Linked DNA regions of Oryctolagus cuniculus. The protein of the gene in region 1 interacts with the protein of each later gene in a pairwise test. Links are inferred from orthologs where the notes say so. Each region holds a gene or a part of one and is shown in the gene's direction. Other genes may lie near its edges. The genes, in order: EMD, CCDC33, TRAF3IP3, TRIM42 and ABT1.

Region 1 (4,352 bases):
GCCTGTGACCATCACCAGTTTGGGCCCTTCAGCCTGGAGCTGATCAGAGCCCTCGCACTTTCTTGTCACCAGCTAACATCTGTGAGGCCAGGACGGCACCTCATCTCTTCATGCACCCACTTCTGTCACTTCCTTTCGACTCCCCAAGGGGACAGCCCTCTTCTGATTAAGACCCTTGCCAACCCAGCCACAGTACAGGAACCTGAGCAAGCCTTGGCAGTCTCTCACGGCTCACCAGGCTCCTCTGCCCCTGCCCGGCCCCCTCCTGGTCACTGGGCTCAGGGCCATTCCGACTGGAGCCCCCTTCCCTTCCACCCAGTACCCCGGGTTGACAGTAGGGTGGGCTGGGAGGGCACACTCCCTCTCCGAAGCGCGCTCTGCCCGTGCCCGCTGGAACGGCCCGCCGGGCCCCTTCGAAGGCTGTTTGCTCCAGGAGTGCCCGCGTCCTCCTGGCCCAGTGCCCCATTTCCTCCCGGGTGGAGGGCGGGAGGAGCAAGGGAAGGAGGGAGGGAGGCGATGGGAACCGATGGGCGCAGGTGCGCAGGCGAGGGCCGGTGCAGGTCAGCGAGGCCGGCCTGGGCCAGGGGGTCCGCGTAGCGCACCCAAAGCGTAGACAGCAGTGGCTGGCCCGAGAGCGGCGCTGTGCAAAGGGTGGCTCCTTCCCGCTGCTGCGGGAGAACCCTCGGCCTGGGATCCCGGGAAAAGGGGGACGACGAGTGCAGGCGCAGGGATGTGGCAAGAGTCAACCGGCCCGAACCACCGCAAAGACACCCACGCCGCCGGCTCCCTAGCTCCCACGTTCTGGCCGGTTTCTACCGGTTCGGGTCGCATAGGCTCCGCCCCTCCCGCGAGTCTAGCTCAGAAGCGCCTGCGTGTGACGTCTTGGCGTGCCCGTCCAGCCCCTTTTCTCGAGCGTGCAGCCCCGCCCACTCCCACGGCCTGAGTAGTCTGAGCCACTTTGGCTCCCACACAGGCCCCGCCCCTCTTCCGCCACAAACCAATCTCGCACGTTTTTGAAATACGAGCTCGCCAGGCCCGCCCCGCCCGCTCCCACAGCTAGACCGGTCCGTGCCGGCTCCTCCTTGTGGTTTGGCTCCGCCCCGCGCAGCGCGCGCAGCCTGCGGAGCCCGCGGCCATGACGGGAGCGTGACGCAGACGTGACGCAAGCGCGGCCGCTCCCGAGCCCTGCGAGGCAGTGGTGTTGCTTGGCCTGTGTCGCCAGGCCCGGGCTGCCCCCAGCCCTTCGCCACCTGCCGGCCGCGCCCGCGATGGACGACTACGCGGTCCTGTCGGACACCGAGCTGGCCGCCGTGCTGCGCCAGTACAACATTCCGCACGGGCCAGTCGTGGGTACGCGGGAGCGGGCGGGACGCCTCCCGGGACTCGCTCTCCCGCGCGCCGTCTCGCAGCCCCCCGGTACCCCCCGCCTGCGTCCCCTACCCAGATTCCCTCCCTGGGCTCGCAGCCCACGACCCTGACCGCCCCGCGCCCGCTGTCTGGTCAGGCTCCACTCGCAAGCTCTACGAAAAGAAAATCTTCGAGTACGAGACCCAGAGGCGGAGGCTCTCCCCACCCAACTCGTCTGCTTCCTCGTTCTCCTATCGGTTCTCGGGTGAGCAGCTGGCTGCCGGTGGTGACAGGGAGGGTGGGATTTCGAGGGTGTGGCGTGGGGGGTGGGTTGCTAGCCGAGAGAGGCACTGCGAAGAAGGGAGGGAAGCCTGGGGGAAAATGGTCTCGTCCCCCCCCTCAATTCAGACTTGGATTCGGCATCTGTGGACTCGGATAAGTACGACCTGCCCAAGAAAGAGGACGCCTTACTTTACCAGAGCAAGGGTAAGGCAAGGAATTGACACCCTTAACACCATCACCCCAACACCTTCACCCACCCTGTCCCGGACCGTGGGCGTAGGGAAAACCTGAGGCCTCGACTCCCCACCAGCCTCAGCGACCTGAGAGGGGCCCCAAAAACGCTGTTTAAATAAGGGTCCCTGGAGCAGCTGGGGAACACGGGTCTGCCCTCTGCTACCAGTGCTCCCTTTTTCAAGGCTATAATGATGACTACTACGAGGAGAGTTACTTGAGCACCAGGACTTACGGGGAGCCCGAGTCTGTGGGCACATCCAAAGGCTTCCGGCAACCCGGGACTTCGCTTTCTGATGCTGACACCTCCCACCACCAGGTGAGCTGCCGTCGGGCACCTCATATCCGGGGGCAGCTTGAAGGGATGACAGCTGGGTTTGGGTAAATCCCAGCATCACTGGGTACAAATGCTAGCTCCTAGGTTTCCAGAGAGAGTTAGGATGAGTTAGGACTTTGCTACGGGGCGTGTCAAGAGTATTTGACTAGAGCACACAGGATGTGGCCTGCACCCTGGTCAGGATCTGAAGTTCCAACTCAGAATCCAGGGGGAGAAAAGAGGGTTCTGGGGTCAGTGCTGTGGCACAGCAGGTTAAGCTACCGCCTGCAGTGCCAGCATCCCATGTGCATCCAGGTTGGAGTCCTGGCTGCTCCACTTCTGATCCAGCTCCCTGCTACTGTGCCTGGGAAAGCAGTGGGGGATGGTGTGAGTACTTGGGCTCCTGCCACTCCCATGGGAGACCTGGATGGAATTCCAGGCTCCTGGCTTCAGCCTGGCTCAGCCCTGGCCATTGTGGCCATTTGGGGAGTTAACCAACAGGTGGAAGATCTCTCCCTCTCTAACTCTGCCTTTCAAATAAATAAGTAGAATCTTAAAAAAAAAAATGTTTATTTTCATCTGCTTGAAACCAGAGCAACAGGAAGACAAAAAGAGAAAGTGAGGTCTTCCATCCCCTGGTTAATGTCCTAAATGCCCAGGATGGGGGCCATGGCAAAGCCAGGAGCCCAGAACTCCATCTAGGTTTTCCACAGGGGTAGCAGGGGACCAGAAGCAAACCAGCCAAAACTTGAACTGGCACTCCGTATGGGATATGGGCACCCTAACTGGCAACCAAACCTGCCACGCCACAATGCCTGCCCTGTCTGGCCTTTAAGCAATGGTTAGAGTGGGCTGAGTAATACGACAGGCTGTGCTGACCCTGCTGGCCAGTCCCGTCACCTCGATTCTGGTCTGCAGGTGCGCAGTGACCATCTTTTCTCTTCTGAAGAGGAGGACAAGGACAGGTGAGTAGTGGGAAGGCCCTGGGAGCAGTGATTCTGGGCCTAGCTCTCCTGGCTCACCTGCTCCCCTCTTTTGCATTAGGGAACGCTCCACATATGGCCGTGACAGTGCCTACCAGAGCATCGCACACTACCGCCCTGTTTCCAACGTCTCCAGGAGTTCCTTGGGCCTGTCCTATTACCCTGCATCCTCCTCTTCTGTGGCCTCTTCGCCTTCTCCATCATGGCTCGCCCGCCGTGCCATCCGACCAGAAAAGCAGGCCCCTGCAGCTGGTCTGGGTCAGGACCGCCAGGTCCCACTCTGGGGCCAGCTGCTGCTTTTCCTGGTCTTTGCTGCCTTCCTGCTCTTTGTTTACTATTCCTTGCAGGCAGAGGAAGGCAACCCCTTCTGGATGGATCCCTGAGGGTCTTGATTTCAGAGCCAGCTCTTTGAAGTCCTGGCTGTCTGCCTTAGTGCAGTGTGTGCTGGGGGTGGGGGTGGGGGCTTTTCTGTGTGTTCTAGCTTTGGGGGCTGGGCCTAGCCCTGAGCAGTGCTTGCTCCCCCTGCCTGCTCCCACCAGGGAGGCAGCAGACTCGGGCCCTTCACGTTCTGGTAGGCCTGGGCGTGCCTTCCTCTGGAGCCTCCTGGCCCTGCTTGCCTCTGACCCTTAGGGCCTGGGAGGGCAAGACTTCACTCCTTCAGAGATGTTGTCATGTGCTCATGCATGCCTCCTGTTCGTTGTCACCTTTTTGAGGTTAACCAAGGGCCACCTCGACTTTGTTTTCGTGGACGCAATAAAGACCGTTTATTTTTAATGTGTTGGCTCTTCCTGCTGGGGGAGAGGCTGGCTGCCATGCTTTGGGGTCTCTGGGTCTTAAGGTTTTTTAAGGATTGTCACCTGGCTTTATTGATTCTGTGGTTTTGCTTTGGTCTTGGCATAGGAATCAAATGCTACCGCTGACTAGGTTCATGTGTTGTTTGGGGGTTTATTCCCTGACTCCCCAAAGCACTGGTAACTACTTAAGAAAAGAACTGTGATAACAGCAAGGGGTCTGGAGAACCCACCTGGAAATGCAGGTGAGGCTGCAGGCACAGTGTGGTTTGCAAGCGCTCCCATCAGGAAAGGTTGAAACGAACTTCAGCTTCCAAGGGCATTAGGATAGAACGTAAACAAGCCATCTTGGTGGTGGGTCTGGAAGGTCGTTCCTCAGCTCACCTTCCAACCTTTCAGCTC
Region 2 (3,876 bases), on another chromosome or scaffold:
AGCCTCGGGGGGAGGGGCGCATACTCCCAACAGCCCCCAGAGAACCAAATCCCAGGGCAGCTCTGCCCCGTATGAGGACGAGACCTTGGCCAAATCACGCAGCCCTCGCTGCACCTGGCCCCACCTCGCCCTCAGAAAACCGGGGCTGGACTCTTCCCCCTCAAACCCCAAGTTCCAACTAGACAGAGAGGTGCAGACAGGGCCTTGTGAGGACCCCCCCCGGGCTGAGCACCCGTGGTCTGTCCTGGGTGAGAGGGGGATGCTGCGTGGTTTAGGCTGGCGTGTACATGCGTGTGCGTGCATGTGCACATGCGTGATCAAATGCGTCCCAAGCTGCTCCTAAGCCCCTCTCAACTGCCCTGCACGTGGGTGAGCCTCAGGTGCCGCTGCTGTGCCGGTGGGAAGAGCTGGGGCAGCTTCAGGCTGGGTCTTGTCCCCACTCAGTCCCATCGCCTGCCCAGGACAGGACCCAGCTGAGATCCGGATTCTCTGTGCGACCCTGAACAGGTGGCCAGCCCACCGGAGTCTCTGAGACGGGAAGAGCTGGGCACAGCAGGTCTGGGCAGGCAGCTGGACCACTTGGAGCAGGGCCATGTGTGCCGGGCTCGGGGATGAGTCTAAGACTCCCTGCACACACCCTTCCTAGCTCCTGCTTCATGGTGTGGGGGGTGGCCTGAGCGTCTGCGCAACACTGCTGCCCCCTGCTGGTGGAAAAGGCAAACTACATTCAGATGGCCTGGCCTGCCAGGGCCAGACCCTGGGGACCCCCGGGGGGACTCTGAGGTTGAGTGGCCACCCAGGGAAGGGCCAAGGAGGAGAGAAGGGTGTGCCCGGCCCGGCCCCGCCCCTCCCTATGCTCCTACTGCAGCCCCTGCAGGGCCTCCCACCTGCCTCAGGTGGGCACCTTGTCTGCACCTGCCCCTAGCCCCCTTCCCTCCCCTGGGAGAACCCTCCCCACCCCTGCCCCTGCTCATGCCCACGCCTCCCCTACATACCCCTCCGTCCCCAGCCCCCACACATCCCTTCTCCACCCTGGCCTGGAGGCTGTCTCTATAGACTGGAAACTATTGCGCTCAGTCCTTTTACCATATAAACTGCAAAAGGCGACCCACCGACAGGAACGGGAACCGACTGTGGGAAAAGCAAACTCCCATGAATCCATCGCTGGGGGCCAGGGGGTGGACCCTCCCCAGCCACACACCCCCACCTCGCCGCAGACGTGAGCCTCCTCGCCGCGTCCCACAGTCGCCCCCTGCCTGCCTCCCCAGCCACAGTTGCGTCTTTGTCGTCTGCAGGGTGCCCCAGGCTCTCAGCGTGGCTGGGGCGAGACTCACCCGGGCTGTGAGGGGTCCCCGCCGATCCCCCAAGTGAAACCTGGCCCCGCCCCAACAGGAGCAGCGGCCGAGGGCCCAGGAGCGCGGAGGAATCTGGGGCCATGGTGTCCAAGACTGGGCCGTGACGCACAGCGTGGCCCTGTGGGGAGAGGTCAGGGCTGCTGCCCGCAGGCTACGGCCTCCCGGCCCAGCTGCTCGGCCCAAGGTCCTGCTGGGGGCCCACGGTGGGGGGGAGGGGGCGCCTGGCCAAGGTCCCTCCCTCCCAGCCCCTGGGGAGGCGTGGCTCTCCGGGGGCAGCCAGGCTGGCGTTTGCGCCGTGGAGGTCCCCCGGAGCACCAGAGCCCAGACGGCGCCCGCCGGCCCCGCTGCCCCAGGCCTTGGTGCTGGCACCGAGCAGACCGCTCACCTCTCCGGCCCCTGCTTCCCTCGTCAGAAAAATGGGGGGTGACAAGATCTGCCCTCCCAGGCTTGTCCTGAGCACGGAGAGGAGTGGACGTGTGGTGTGGCGGTTCAGACCCTGCCCGGGACGCCCATGCCCTGTATCACAGGGCCTGGGTTCAAGTCCCAGCCCTGCCCCCATTCCTGCTGACGGGCACCCTGGAAGGTTGCAGGTGACAGCTCCAGTGCTGCCCACCTGGGAGACCCGGATGGAGCTCCCGGCTCCTGGCTTCAGCCTGGCCTGGCCCTGCTTGTTCTGGACCTTGGGGGAGTGAGCCAGTGGGTGGGAATTCTCCTCTCTCTCTAATAAATAAAACCGAAAAATACCACTTAGAGGGGGTAAACTCTCAGGGGGTGTCCTCCACCAGGAGGGTGGACGAGGGCCGTCTCTAACCTGGCGACCGGGTCTGGCTCCCTGCCCTGGCACGCTCCCCTCACCACTGGGTCCCGACCTCAACACCGCGCCCTTCTCGGGGTCTCCCCCAGGCATACTCCGTGTCCCCTCTGCACTCTGGGCCAGCTGAACAGCTTCAGCCAGGGGCTCCCCTGGGCTCCAGGGGTCAGGGACGAGGGACGAGGACAGGACATGGTGGTGATTCGGCCAGTCCAGCATCTCCCCAGGCTCTGTAGCCCATGCTGAGGCCTGCTGCCCAGAACTGGTGTCGGGGGCGTGAGAGCGTATCAGAGCAGCCGGCCTCATGGTGGCCAGCAGGGGTGAGGACTGAGCCTGGGAGGCACAGCCTAGGGCTTGGGGTGACCCGCGGGACTTCCAGGTGGAGGTGGCGATGCGGGCGGGGGGCAGCCGTGGTGCAGGGGCTCAGCCCTGGGCTCCGGGGTTCCCAGGAGATGAACAACTACAGGCGAGCCATGCAGAAGATGGCAGAGGACATCCTGTCGCTGCGGAAGCAGGCCAGCGTCCTGGACGGCGAGAACCGCAGGCTGCGGAGCCGGCTGGCCCGGCGGGAGGCCGAGGAGGCGCAGGCCGAGGCCCAGGAGTTGCAGAACCTGGGTGAGCTCACCCGGTGGGGGGGGGGGGGGCTGAGGCACGGAGACGTGGGAGGGGAGGGCAGGAGCTCCGCCCACACCCGCAGACGCTCCCACGGCCCCTGCTGCTGGGAAAGACAGAGTCCACGCTGCCCTCCTGGCCCTGACTTTGCTGACTCAGCAGGGAGAGACCCCCCCCCCACCTCCCTGAGCCACCCCCTGTGCCCCCAACAGGCTCCATGAAGGAGAGGCTGCTGCTGGCAGAGCTGGACGTGAACCAGCTGCGGGACAAGGTGCAGCACCTGCAGAACGAGCTGATTCGAGTGAGCGGGGACGGAGACGGGGGCCCCGCCAGGGAGGACCCCGGGGCCAAGGCTGGCTCCCGGGCACCCACGCGTCTCTCTTCTGCACCCGCAGAAGAACGACCGGGAGAAGGAGCTACTGCTCTCGCACCAGGCGCAGCCGCCGCAGGCCGCGCTGCTGAAGCGCTACCAGGACAAGCTGCAGCAGATGCGCGCGCTGGAAGACACCGTGCGGCACCAGGAGAAGGCAGGTGCCGGCTGCCCGCCGGGGGCCCGCCCCGCGCCGGCCCGGGGACAGCCCTGGCCAACGCGGCCTCGGTGCTCTGCCCGCAGGTGATCCAGAAGATGGAGCGGATGCTGCGGGACTGGAGCGAGGCCCCCGCGCCGAGCAGGCTGCAGGAGAAGCCCAGCGCGAGTGAGTGGTGGGGGTCCCTGGCACTCACCCCCCGCCCCGGTCCTTGCCTTCCAACCGCAGGACCGTGGCTGAGTTGCACCTGCGGGACCCAGCGTGGCCTGCTCCCCTGCCCAGTAAGGCCCTGGACGCGTCCGGGGCCCCTGGCGTCCTGCGGCTCCTCCGCACCCTAGGACACAGGCAGGGCAGGGGTCAGGAGTTTCCCCAGCAGGACCCCCGGAACCCGGCCGCCAGCTCCCTGTGCCTTTAAGGATTCTGCGCTACAGAGCAAACACCTGATGAAATCGGTGGCTCCTGTTCTCCGTGGGTGTCAGCCAAGCCGCACTCGGAGCAGGTGGCGCTGCACCAGGGCAGGCGGAAGCAAAGGCCACCTGTGCCGCCCCCCCCCCCCCCAGGGCCCAGGGCT
Region 3 (3,876 bases), on another chromosome or scaffold:
GGCAGGGAAGACAACATGCAAGGTGTCAAGTACAGCCTCTACACCATAAACCTGGTTCCCTGGGGACTTTGGGTTCCTGATTCTGTTTGTTTACAGGACAGACTCTTTGAGGTGTGATTCATGTGTGTGCTGGTTTGGATGGCACAGTCCATGTCTGGACTAAGGAAAGCAGACTTGGAAGCAGAGTTAACCCTCACCGGGAGGTGATTCTAGAAATATGCAACCCTCAGCTTCCCAAGCGAGAGAGCCAGATGCACGGAAGTGGGTTTCATCCTGGACTGGACGTGTGGCAGGGGCTTGACCAATGCTGATTTGATCTGATTTGCACATGCGAACCAGAACCCAGCCCTGAGAGTGAAATGGGTGCCAATGGACCCATGCCGGGACGACAGAGGACCCAGCAGACTAGGAGCACAAGCTGGTTGCTAAGGGCCGGGAAGACAGCAGTGGTTGCTGGTCCCAGGCCTCGTCACTTCCTGAGGAGGATCGGTTTTCCCTCCGGGTCTCAAGTGTCACTTGACTATTTTAGTAACAAAGTAGGCCAAGAGAGCAGTAAAAATGCTGACTCCCCTTCTAGGTTTGGGAGATTAAGGGGAACAGGGTCAACTTAGCTGTATCCTTGGCAGGCTTCAAAATGAACACACGTGCTGCAGAATGAGATCATTCTAATTTTGTCAATTATTTCTCATGCCTTAGAAGAAGCAGTGGTATCCAGAGAGACCCGAGCACTTCACAGAGGGTTGACGCAGGTTAGAGAAAATCAGGAATTCGCTTTTCTTAGATTTTATTAGTTTGCCAGAGACTAAGCCCAGGAGTGCAGGCTCCAAGCTGGATACTCTCACGTCCTCAGTGCTCGACACATGTGGATGGAACGCTGTGCTATTTCTGCCCACTAGACCAGGGAGATGGTCATCTTTCTTCCTGTCTTTTGACACCTCCCTCTTGGCATTTGGCAGGGTCCAGGCGGTTATGCAAGGAAGTGGAAGCCAAGTGCAACAGGTGCTCGGGAGGTCATCATGATCAGGCCAGACCCCAGGCCCTCCCCCGGCTTGGCCCGGTGGGCTGAGAGCTACGAGGCCAAGTATGAGCGCCGGCAGGAGACCCGTGAGAGCCGCCGCTGTCGCCCCAACATGACCACTTGCCGCCAGGTGGGAAAGGCAATGAGGACCCAGCAGAGAGAGCAGCTCCAGCGAGCTCGACAACGGCAGTTCTTCCAGAGGAGGAAGCTGGAGGTGGAGGAGCGAGGCCAGGCACGGCCTCCCGGGGCCAAGGAGCAAGGCCCTTCCAGGAGGACACGCCAGGCCGCTACCCTCAATGGGTCCTTGTCTTGTGCCAACAGGATCTCCTCCCCTGGACAGCAGGTGGGCCATGTCCAGGGACGCACTGCTCCCAAGGTGGAGGGAGGGTGGGCTCAAGGTCACGAAAAAATGGTTCTACTAAATCTCTTATTCTTTGGTCAAATACGAAAGTCTCCACTTGCCAGCTATTTAGTCACACAGGGATTTTTGTTCTAGTGTTTTCCTTTATTTGTTTAGCTCTTTTTTTTTTTTTTTTTTTTTTGCACTTACCTTCTGGGAGAAAAAAAATTATGAACAATCCCATTGCAATACCTAGTGTCAGTTCAAATTTAGGCAATCTATAGTATCTGCTAAGCTATTTTACAGCATTCACCCACCCATCATTCATGCAATATTTACTGAATCCTTATATGCCAAGGACAGGCCAACCCTCTTTATGTCCCCTCTCCCAACACACATGCGGACACAGACACACACACCTGGTCCTCTATTCTTCTGCAAGTCTGTTGCATCTGCTCACCCTCTCGCTTTCCCTTGGCCATTCCAGTTCTACCAAATTCACTTAGTTAAGGCCTCAATCTGGTCCAAGAAGCCTTCCCTGGCCTCTCCAGGCCACTCTTGCTCTCTGTGGGTTGTGGGGTTATAAATCTTCTAAGATTGTGTAACGCTTAGAGAGCTCGTTGGTCTGGCCTGGGAAGCAGCAGTGTTGGCAAACGCCAGGGTATGTGGAGATGATCCGACCTCAGCCAGCAAGCCATCTGTGTCTGCCCACCAATGCTGTGAGCACACTGACAGTACGGATGGGTCTGCTGTATTCCCTGGAAACACCTGGCCCTGTGCCGTACTCTGAGTAGCAGCTCCATCGGGGCTTCTTTCCTGGGGCTCTGCTCTGCGTAACGGGAGGGCTGTTCAAAGAAAAGATCCTGCGGCTCAACAGCAAAAGGAAACCAACTCTATGCTTCCTAAGGCAGAACGACTTCTGCATGCGTTTTGTTGGAAGAAAAGAAATCCAGAAAGAAAAGTAGAGCAACTACAACTCATTAAGAACTCCAGAGTTCCACGTCCACCTATCAGTCATGTGAGGTTTTACTGAGACTGAATCTCTGTCCGCGGGATTAGGTACTACGGGGATGTCACCAGCACAGACTTCCTGTGTTAGCAAGAACACAAGATAGAAAGAGCAAACCAAGCTGTGGCCACGACCACCACCCCCTCTCCTCAGCTTCCTACTTTACCTTCTCTTCGCACAAAATCTCAGAGATTCTCCAGCAGAGAGGAAGGAAGCTAGCTCTAGAATAAAGCAAGCACCCTGCGAGTCATCTGTCCCAAACTCCCCACTGCACAGGCAGGAGACTGACACCACAAAAGCAGGATCTAAAACCCAGAGCCCCTTACCCACTGCCACTCAATTCTTTTTCCACCTTGCCACCCTGGGTGAGTAATTGGCTGGGACCAAACAGTATAGGCAAGGATTCTGGAGTGAATTGTTAGAGGCAAATCCAGCTGCCAGGCAGGACCTGGCAAGCAGACGCAGCGGAAACCTTGTGGCCTGGAAGGCTCGAGTGGGCTCCTGGAGCTGAACTGCTGTCCTGGGCACTTGCACTGCTGTCCCCAGTCAGCAGGGACTGGGAGGCCTTAACAAGAGAAACTTATTTCTCACAAGTCTGAGAGGCTGGAAGTCCAGGCTAGCGGCTCTGGCAGTCAGTGTGTGAGGACATTCTTCCTGGGCTAGTGATGGCCTTCTCATCGCATCCTCACAGGGCAGAGAGCAGACAGGGAGGCACACCGTCTCGTGTCTCTGCTCATGAAAGGGTGCTGGAACCATCATGAGGGCTCCACTTTGACCTGACCATTCCCCAGGGCTCCACACAAGCACTCGGGCCACAGCAGATGTGATCTCTCCAATCATCTGGAGAATCTGCTTCCTTGAGGCTCTGGGGAGTGGTTCTCAGCATCCCCTACTTGCTTTCCAGGTGGCAGAGACCAGCTCTAAGAGCCTTCCAGGCCAGCAGCACCCTCCCGCAGACGTCCAGAGGGGTCTAGCTGACCAGCCCTCCCCCCTGGCAGGGGGCCTCCCACCACAGGACCCTTCCATCAGGAAGCTGCCCAAACATCACCGTGGTAAGGGCAGTGCTCCTTGGCATGACTGGATCTACAGGGAATCCACAGTTCCAGCTCACTGGCTGTGGAGAGTCCCTGTCCCTCCTCCTCTCCCTCATACCCTCTCCATGGCATCTGAGTCACCTTATCCTCCTTCTCCCAGGCACTCAGACCAAGGCAGAAGAACCACAGCCGACACTGAAAAACGATGCCAGTCAGCAAACCAAGTGAGTTCCTTTCACAGTCCTGCCCCTAACACCTACACAGCCCATCCATCCCTGTCTCCTAGGCTCCCACTTGAACACCTCTACCCAGCATGTAGAGGGAGCACAGTGACTTTCCATGCCACTTTAATCAGGAAGAAAGAAGCCCTTCCCCACCCCAAGGGCTGTTCAGAAGGGATCCCAGAAAGAATCCACCTGCTGCCTCCTGATTTGCTTAATGTCCACTGACTTTTCTTCTTCTCTTCCCAGTTATG
Region 4 (4,457 bases), on another chromosome or scaffold:
ATAGGGAATGTCCAAAGCAGGCAAATCCTTAGAACTTAGGGTACTTCTCAAGGATAGACAGGAGCCGCTAGGGAATGAGGAGTGGCTGACTGCCCTTGAGTGTCTTTTGGGGTGATGAAAATGTTTTGGAATTAGGTCTTGGTGACAGCTGCACAGTTTTATGATTATACTGAAAACTATTCAATTGTTCATGGTAAATTTAATGGTAAGTGAATTGTAATGTCAATAACAATTTCTAAAAAGAGGGGACTTCACAGAGACCAGTAATGAAAATATACCATGAACCCAAGAATGGCATTTGGACCTCTGGGCCTGGAGCCTAGGGAGAAAGGCAGATAAAATTGAGTTTGAGCAAATGTGTGGGAAAGATGTCTCTCATCCATTACTGGTGTCAGTATGAACTGGCACATTTATTTGAGTAGGCAATTTAGTGGCATCTATCAAAAAAGATAAAGCACATACCCTATGATCCAGCCCTCTCATTTCTAGAAACTTAAAATCGGTGTGTGGCTGGCACCATTAGCACTCAGTAAACGTTCTTTCCTATTATGAAGACGATCATCATGGGGAGAGATCATGGATTATGCAATCGGCTCGAGCAGCCAAACTCAGCCTTCAGTTCTTTTTGGAAAAGTAATACTGCAGCCTTCATACCGTCATGCGGCGTGGTCATGAACACTTTGCTCTTTTAACCTTTGCAAGCTGCATCAAGTGGAAACGAAATTCACCCCATTAGGGTCTTGTTTCCAGGTATCTGGAGCACACTGCTAGCACAAAAGTATAAAGCTCATGTAGCATTATAACTTCTTGATTAACAGGACCTAGAGGACTGATAGTAGGGTGGGGGAAAGGAAGTAAAGCCTAAGACTTGGTCAAACCCCTTGAAGCTGCAGAATTGGCAAAAAACATTCGGAGGTTTCTGCGAAGCCTCATGAAACAGACCAGTCATTATGCAGTGATGGGCAAGAGCAATGACTTTCAAAAGAAGCTCCTGAAGGAAGCGGTGTCTTCTGCTCCTTTAGTTCTTTCCACAAATGGTGACACCTCCTTCCGTGCTGTCCTCCTTGTTGCTATTTGTAAACACTGTAAGGAGTTCTATCATGCAGGAAAAACCCAGGAGAGGAAAATTATGTCCATCTACTTTTCCAATTAGTCATGCCAGGCTTCTCAGTCTGGGAAGACATTCCCTGAAATCAGCTTGCCCAAACTACGGGCAAACACCAAGCAAGAAGAAATAGCTTCTGAAATCTACCCCACAACCAGGAAGGGGACCAAGGACAGCTCCCCTGGAGCTGGTCCGACGGAGGCATGAGGGGAGTATCCATCAACTCACCTGCTAACCACTCCAGGCTTCACCTGCCAGCTCCACAGCGTGGTGAGACACTGCAAGGACCCAGTGATTGTGACATCAGCAAATGGCCTCATGCACGTGCTAACCCATGAGCTTCCTGGCAGGGACACCACTGGTGAGAGCCTCCTAACAGCCAACTTCTTGCAACTCTCAGGCTGACGGCCTCACTGGGTTGGGGGAGGAGGGACACCTCCACTGAGAACTGGCAGCAGGATTCTGGTAGAGGAGACACCAAGAGCCACGGTGGGGACGTGGTAATCATGTAGGGGCCATGGAGACTGCTATGTGCGTTTGCTCGCCATGTTGTACATGGCAAAGATGTTGTCCTCAGCTATGCTCCTGTCTGTGCTGCAAGTTCATCTTCACCTCGGAGAGGAACTGCACCTGCTTCCCCTGCCCATACAAGGATGAGCGGAACTGCCAGTTCTGCCACTGCACCTGCTCCGATAACCCCAACTGCCACTGGTGCTGCTGCTCCTGGGCCAATGATCCCAACTGCAAATGCTGCTGCACGACCAGCAGCAATCTCAAGTGCTACTACTATGAGAGCCGCTGCTGTCGCAATGCCACCATCACCTTCCGCAAGGGCCGTCTCAAGAGCATCCGCACCTCGTAAGTGAAAACTGGGAACTCAGTGCCAGCTGGGGGCCCACAGGGTGGGCTGGTAACCCCTGGGTTCATTTCTCTCTGTGGGAAAAGGAAGCCAGGAATTTTGTAGCAATTGAGTATATCCTCATATACTAACCATGTAGCAATTAAGTATATCCTAGTATACTAACCAGTATAGACTCTAACTTCCAAATTGAAAATCCATAAGGTGTGAATGCTTACAGCACTCTTCTGAACCACAACTCTCTCATGGGTGCAAAGTACTCAGAGCCAATACTCAGTGCTTAAGCAACTTGCCAGGCACTGCATGGGAGACCCTGGGGAACCCTCCTCTCCCTGAGCCCACTGGACCCAGCAACAGAGCCTTTGAGAGGTGAAGCCACCTGGGTTGACACAGCTAGCATGATGCAGAGTCAGGATTTGAACCCAGAAGCCATTATTTTAAATTTCAAGTGTTGTGTTGCAAAATGGAGAGGCCCTGTGAGGACTGATGTGAAATTCATGGACAGTAGAGTTCAGACATAAGTTGATTTGGGTGCAAAGTTGTTCATGATCCGCATTTTCCATGAATTTGTTGAGGGCTCTTTGCATGTGCTTTGTAACCTGATAGGTGACATAAAAATATAAATCGCTCTTCCCCCTGCTACTGTGAACTCTTGATATATGCAATGTTTCTTGGAAAAGTAAGAATTTCCAAGGACCAGTTTTGAGCCTGATGACCTGTATTCACCTGAGTGCCCCAGACACATCTGAACTCCCGTTGGCCTCCTCGACTTTCCCATGGAGAAGTCATGGTGCTTTGGGCCTCCAGGTGCTCACTGGGGGCATTAGTCATCCCCACTAAGCACTGTATAACCTCTTCCTACTCTACCGAGTCAGTCTTCTTCTGTCCCTGTGAGAGGAGCCTGGTAAGGACAGACTTACTCAGCACTGTGAGATGAGTGGACTAGGAGAGGCTGAACAATAGGAAGCAAGTCTGAAGGCCTTCAAGGCTGCATCAGCAATTCTACCAACAAAGGTTTGGTGGACTCAGGGCAAGAATGTAAGATCCATCTTGAGATTAGGTGCTTGGTAGGGGCGTAGGAAACATGAGTTTCCGTGCACGGCCCTCTCTGGTGCTTGCGGGAATCCAGGGACTCTAGTGGCAAGTCCAGAGGTTCCAAGGTGTGGAAAGCAGTGGCCACACCCCTCTCTCTGGACACGCCCGTTCTCCAAGCACCAGCCACGGAGAGCCACAGAGCCCATTCCAGGAGGGATGAAACTGCTGCTTTGGGAAAGTGGCTTTGGCATCAGTGGTTCCCAAATTTCTATGCATTTGCAATCATGCAGGGATCTTTAAAAATACCTAAGCCTGGTCCACTGCCTCCCCAAAACTCTGAATGTTATTGGCCTGGGGTACCACCTGGGCATCAGAATTGTATAAGGCCCATCCTGTTCAGGTGATTCCAATGTGCAGAATGGCCTGCGGGAGCAGGAAGGGAAGCTAGGAGACTTGCCAGGAGAGACAGTGAGAATCCAGGGGCAAGGGGACCAGGCCTGAACTGGGGAGAGTGAGGAGAAAGGACCAGAGGCAGATAGTTTAGCAGGAAGACCAGGCTGCTGGGCCTGGCAGCTGGGCATGGATCCCTGGCTACTGAACACCTTGTCCACACCTGAGGCTTCTGCAGGCTGGGCAGGGATGCACTTGACAGCTTCAGGAGGCATTGTGCCTGTCTTCTCCCTGGCCCCTCCCCTGGGTCCTGAAGCCCTGCCTCCCTGCTGCTCATCACCGCCTCCTGCTGAGCAGTTACAGCCACTCACCTCTCTCTGCTCTCGCCTGTCCCGCTCAGCCATACTCATTTCCTCACCTCCATTCCTACCGCTGCCACAGCTCCCTAGGCCATTGACACCTGTCTCTGAACCCTGTGCTCATTCTCTCTCCCTTCCCCCCCACCTCCCTCCATCTCCCTGATTTCTTTGGCTGACACCTGTCATAGTACGCCCTGGTTCTCAGAGTCCCATTTTTTTTAAATCAAACTCAAGAAGTCCATCCAGCCTCCATGTGTTATCCTTTACCACTCTTGATGACTCCAGGCAGGAGGCTAGGATGGCACAGTGGAACCAGCTGAGAACATCAAGGCTGGTGGGCTACAGCCCAGCATCCAAACCCTGAGAGGTGGGCCTTCCAGGCACCCGAGGGTGACTCCATCCCTGTGTGCCCAGGAGGCCCCTCTGAGAGCCTGGACTCTGAGGCCCAGGACCCCACCCAAGGGAGTGGGGATGGAGACAGGGCCATGCTCCTACAGGGAAAGCAGAAAGTCAAAAGCAGATGGAAACAGCCTCGAGGTCAGGACCAACATCCGAACATTCCTAATGCGAGCAGAGGAGAACAGACAGGAAAGAGCCACAGATTTCGTGCCTGCTTGCAGCTCCGTTCCCACAGCCGAGTCACTGATTTTCATAAACTGCTTTATTGTAACGTCTCAGAACTTGAATTGGATAAGCATGTGTTCATTTC
Region 5 (4,521 bases), on another chromosome or scaffold:
CTATGCGGTATCTAGAGGGGGACAAGGGATCGCGGAGGGCTTTCATTTATGGAATATACACAAATCACCTAATGTCTCATGTATACAACCCAATGGATTTTTCATATTTATAACGCTAGGAAACACGGTACTCAGATAAATGTATAGAAATTCCAGTGTGGGGGAACACTGCCTTACAGTTGGCCCTATTTTCCGAAGCGCGCGTGAATACAAAACTAAAAACCATCAGGCCATCCATTATCTCAGGTGTTGTAAGCGCCACCCTCACGTGTCCTTCGATAGCTCAGTTGGTAGAGCGGAGGACTGTAGTGGCGTGAAATCAGCCATCCTTAGGTCGCTGGTTCGAATCCGGCTCGAAGGACAACAGTTTTGAACCACAAAGACAGAGCAGCAGTAACGAGGATGCTTGGATGCTTATCGCTCAAACTCGCAGACCTTTATTATTTACGTGTATAAAATATGCCCCACAGAAACACGGCACGCCTCTCCCGCTCCCCGAGTATACCCGGAGCCCCCGGCCCACCGGGTTCAGCTGCGAAGACGCGTGTGCTACGCGAAGCGCAAAGGGAGTTCGCTCCCAATTTTCACCAGAGGTTTAGGGCTGGCCTTTGGGGCTCTGTGCTATCCTGGTGAGTACTGAAGAGACTTTAAGCAGCGCTGCGCCTCTCATCACCTAGCGCCTGCGTGCATTCGGAGTTTTTTTTTAAAGGCACCGTCTGCTCCCGGCACGCGCCCGCCCCGCCCGGGATCTTTCTGCACAGCCAGGAAGCGATCTGGCGCCCAGCGCTGTTCTCAGGGCAGTGTTAAAGGATGAGGAGGGAACCGCATCCACGCACTGCCACCAACACCCCCGCACACACACACACAGGACGGGGGAAGAGCTGCCTCCCTTAAAATGAACGCACGTGCAGGCGGCGAAGCGAGAAATGCACAGGATCTCTGGAAGGGAGCTGGGGCCTTTTAAGTGGGGACGTGTTTGCCCCCGCTCTGTCCCTCTGGGCTCAAGTCGGGATGCAAAACTAGTGTTGGGGCCCCCATCAAGGGCGTCGCGCATTGACGAAAAACTGAAAGGCGCCTTTGGGCGTCACTCTGCTCCCACCGAGCACGCGTCGTCAGGGCGCGTCCTGGGGGCGCCCCGGGGGCCCTGCCCGGGTCTGGGTGTCGGGAAGCGCGGTCGCGCCGGGGCCGCCGGGTAGGACCTGGGACAGGAGGGCTGAACCGCACCGGGCTGGCCTGGGTGACCTGACGAATACGTGTGACAGAAACGCACACATGGACTATCACACACACATAAGGAACAAGCCAAGTTCTTCAAATAATTCGCACGCACACTTACTTCAGACATTCACAAAATCAAATTTAAAGTCGTTAAACTGTCTAAAATTTCGAAAGTAAATCTAAACATCTGCAACGTTAAACCACATTTTCAAACATTCAAAACATTCAATACTGTCATGTGAGACTTCAAAACTCTTAGTTTTACATTGAAAATCGAAGTTTACAAAGATGAGTTATCCGTCACCGACACCATATCCGGGTTCTTTGTATAAAATGTTATTTCGATCGTTAGGGCACAAAGAAACTCGGCAAATACTGCCCCGCGAACTTCCCGGAGCCCTGCCTCACTCGCCCGCGCCTCTTCAGGGCGTTCAACCGGGCGTGTTACGTCGTTCTCGTAACGTTATTTCCGGTTCCGGTTCCGTCACCCCACCTCTGGAGAGGCGTCACTTCCGCTCTCCCGATTTTTCATCCTTCCCCCAGCTCAACTCTCACTTCTGACCTGACACCCTCAAATCCGCCCTCTTGGGCCAGCTTCCGTCCCTCAGTCTTTTCATTGTTGTCATCTCCTCGCCCTGCCCTTCGCGGCAAGCTGTCGCTCATTGCGTAGTCACCGCCCCAGTCCCGCCCCTCGTAGCACGTCGTCGCACGACGAGTGCGTAATCGCCACGGCGCTTTACGGCTGTCGTGCTCCCTGTCTCTGTCAGCATGGAGGTGGAGGAGTCGGAGAAGGCAGCCACGGAACCAGATCCGCCAGAAGGGACGGAGCAGGAACTAGAGGAGGAAGAGGACCAGGAGGAATCCACAGAAACGGGCCGCAGCAAGAAGAAGCGGGTGGTGCCGGGAATTGTATACTTGGGCCACGTCCCGCCGCGCTTCCGTCCCTTGCACGTGCGCAACCTCTTGAGCGCCTACGGAGAGGTCGGACGCGTGTTCTTTCAGGCGGAAGGTAGGAGCGCGGGCGCGCTCTGTGAACTCTCGAGGCGCTGGCCTGGTGCATCGTAGGAATGGGATCTCTGAGCGGGCGGGGCGGGGGGCGGGCCTACTGGCCCCTTAGTTCTGGGCTTGCGGCCTTTGGGTTCCGATCTCGTGTGCGCCTACTTCTGTGCCTACTGATGCGCTGAGCGATAGTGCAGTTGGAATAAAAACATCAGGAACTTTCCTATTTTAGCCACTTGAAAGAGTTAAAGAGAGACAGAGAGAGGCCTTCCATCTACTGGTTCACTCCCCAAATGGCTGCAGTGGCCGGAGCTGAGCTGATCTGAAGCCAGGCGCTTCCTCCGGGTCTCCCACATGGGTGTAGGGGCCCAAGGACTTGGGCCATCCTCCACTGCCCTCCGAGGCACACGATCCAGGGAGCTGGTTCCCTGAATCCAGGGAGCTGGATCGGAAGTGGAGCAGCCGGGACTCGAACCTGCACCCATATGGGATGTCTGCACTGCAGGCCAGGGGTTCAATCCACTGCGCCACAGTGCCGGCCCCTGTACAAGTTTTTGGTAGCGTGCAGGGCAGACCTAAGGAGTGACATTTGAGGAAGTGTTGATCTAGATAAAGGAAAGGGTGTGTGAGGCAGAGTGTATCTCACAGTTCATTCTTTCCAGAGACTGTGAGGGGGTACCCCGTAGGCGAGCTAAGAGAATGGCGCGGCCAGTGGGAGGCGCGTCTGGGGTGCCGAGTCCCGAGCTCAGCTCTGTCTTTGGTACGCAGATCGGTTCGTGAGACGCAAGAAAAAAGCAGCAGCAGCGGCCACAGGAGGAAAAAAGCGGTCGAAGTACAGCAAAGACTACACCGAAGGCTGGGTAGAGTTTCGGGACAAGCGCATAGCCAAGCGCGTGGCGGCCAGTCTGCACAACACGCCCATGGGTGCCCGCAAGCGCAGCCCGTTCCGTTATGACCTGTGGAATCTCAAGGTGAGGATTGGCCCACGTGCCAAGCTGTCCGCCTGTCTGTCTCCCAGTTCTTCTCCTTGATCTCTCCTTTTCTTCCTGCCCACAGTACCTGCACCGGTTCACCTGGTCCCACCTCAGTGAACACCTTGCCTTTGAGCGCCAAGTACGGAGGCAGCGCCTGAGAGCAGAGGTTGCCCAAGCCAAGCGGGAGACTGACTTCTATCTTCGAAGTGTGGAGCGAGGACAGCGCTTCCTTGCTGCTGATGGGGACCCTACCCGACCAGATGGCTCCTGGGCATTTGCCCAGCGGCCCACTGAGCAGGAGCTGAGGGCCCGGAAGGCAGCGCGGCCAGGAGGGCGTGAGCGGGCTCGCTTGGCTGCAGTCCAGGACCAGGCGCGCTCCAACCGAGGGCTCCTTGCCAAGATCTTCGGAGCTGCGCCCCCCTCGGAGAACACAGAGGGACCTTCTCGGGTCAGGGACTCCTGAGGGAATGGGAGACCCCTTCCGGCCCCCGGCTCTGCCTTTCTCGTTCTACCTCACACTAGGGAGACTGACCACACAGGCAAACATTTTATTGTGTTTCCCTGGTGAGGACCCAGAAACGCAAGTGTTTCAGGCTTCCTTTCTCCTTCCTCCCGACTCCTGTACGTGTTTGGCTGAAATGCCTAATTCCTGTGGTGTGGATATGACTACTGTAGGAGTTGGTTTTCCTCTGCTTGACTTTTGGCTGGCTGTCTCGCTGGGTTTCCCTAAAACTCCCACTTGCCGGTCCCAGAAAGGCCCTTTATTGCTAATCAGAGGAACGGCTTGTTAGGGAGTCAGGTTGTGTTTACCATCCATAGGTGAGGGGGCAGCAGCATCTTTGTTTCTTAATTGAAAGCAAGTAGAGCAGCTAATAAAGTGGGACTGGGATGGAAACCATCTTTGAAATTTTTTTACAGAAAAGGAAGAATATGACTGTTTCTACATACTTTTAGATTCGGGGGATGGAGCCCATTGAACAAGTTAGAAGTTTTTCTTGTATTCCATCTGTTCATTTTGCTTCATCTCCTGTTCTCAGCCTCCATTCTACCTGAACCCCACCTCCTCCCCGCCTTTCTCTGAGTGTCTGGTAGGCAGAATTTGTCATGGCAGAGTATGTCATGTCTCCCAAACTGAGCAGGAATCCTGAGACTGAAAAATTGAATTGGGAAGCGCCATATAGGAATACAAGAGTTTATTAAGGGAACTTACACACTGCATTCCAGACCAGGATGGCAGGTGGTCTGGGCAGAGCTGTAGCAAGGTTTATTCCACACACAACCCTTCAAGGCAAGCCTAGGGGCTGGAGTTGTGACATAGCAGGTTAAGCTG

Evidence for each region.
Region 2: the proteins of EMD (region 1) and CCDC33 interact in binary tests that used the Homo sapiens proteins (3 or more experiments, as listed by UniProt). The two-hybrid records come from large-scale screens. The link is inferred for Oryctolagus cuniculus from reciprocal best matches to the Homo sapiens genes EMD and CCDC33.
Region 3: the proteins of EMD (region 1) and TRAF3IP3 interact in binary tests that used the Homo sapiens proteins (3 or more experiments, as listed by UniProt). The two-hybrid records come from large-scale screens. The link is inferred for Oryctolagus cuniculus from reciprocal best matches to the Homo sapiens genes EMD and TRAF3IP3.
Region 4: the proteins of EMD (region 1) and TRIM42 interact in binary tests that used the Homo sapiens proteins (3 or more experiments, as listed by UniProt). The two-hybrid records come from large-scale screens. The link is inferred for Oryctolagus cuniculus from reciprocal best matches to the Homo sapiens genes EMD and TRIM42.
Region 5: the proteins of EMD (region 1) and ABT1 interact in binary tests that used the Homo sapiens proteins (3 or more experiments, as listed by UniProt). The two-hybrid records come from large-scale screens. The link is inferred for Oryctolagus cuniculus from reciprocal best matches to the Homo sapiens genes EMD and ABT1.

What each region holds. Positions count from the first base shown.
Region 1 is NC_091453.1:132,604,236-132,608,587, forward strand, and holds EMD (emerin), read left to right. Parts: upstream 1-1,268; coding exon 1,269-1,350; intron 1,351-1,504; coding exon 1,505-1,612; intron 1,613-1,755; coding exon 1,756-1,833; intron 1,834-2,045; coding exon 2,046-2,179; intron 2,180-3,094; coding exon 3,095-3,141; intron 3,142-3,220; coding exon 3,221-3,542; downstream 3,543-4,352. UniProt on the Homo sapiens protein: Stabilizes and promotes the formation of a nuclear actin cortical network. Stimulates actin polymerization in vitro by binding and stabilizing the pointed end of growing filaments. Inhibits beta-catenin activity by preventing its accumulation in the nucleus.
Region 2 is NC_091443.1:109,318,667-109,322,542, reverse strand, and holds part of CCDC33 (coiled-coil domain-containing protein 33), read left to right. Parts: intron 1-2,615; coding exon 2,616-2,781; intron 2,782-2,990; coding exon 2,991-3,079; intron 3,080-3,173; coding exon 3,174-3,305; intron 3,306-3,391; coding exon 3,392-3,473; intron 3,474-3,876.
Region 3 is NC_091444.1:24,609,185-24,613,060, forward strand, and holds part of TRAF3IP3 (TRAF3-interacting JNK-activating modulator), read left to right. Parts: intron 1-956; 5' UTR 957-1,016; coding exon 1,017-1,361; intron 1,362-3,271; coding exon 3,272-3,419; intron 3,420-3,561; coding exon 3,562-3,625; intron 3,626-3,871; coding exon 3,872-3,876. UniProt on the Homo sapiens protein: Adapter protein that plays essential roles in both innate and adaptive immunity. Plays a crucial role in the regulation of thymocyte development.
Region 4 is NC_091435.1:141,105,036-141,109,492, reverse strand, and holds the start of TRIM42 (tripartite motif-containing protein 42), read left to right. Parts: upstream 1-1,433; 5' UTR 1,434-1,622; coding exon 1,623-1,963; intron 1,964-4,457.
Region 5 is NC_091436.1:153,680,115-153,684,635, forward strand, and holds ABT1 (activator of basal transcription 1), read left to right. Parts: upstream 1-1,712; 5' UTR 1,713-1,986; coding exon 1,987-2,227; intron 2,228-2,985; coding exon 2,986-3,188; intron 3,189-3,273; coding exon 3,274-3,654; 3' UTR 3,655-4,086; downstream 4,087-4,521.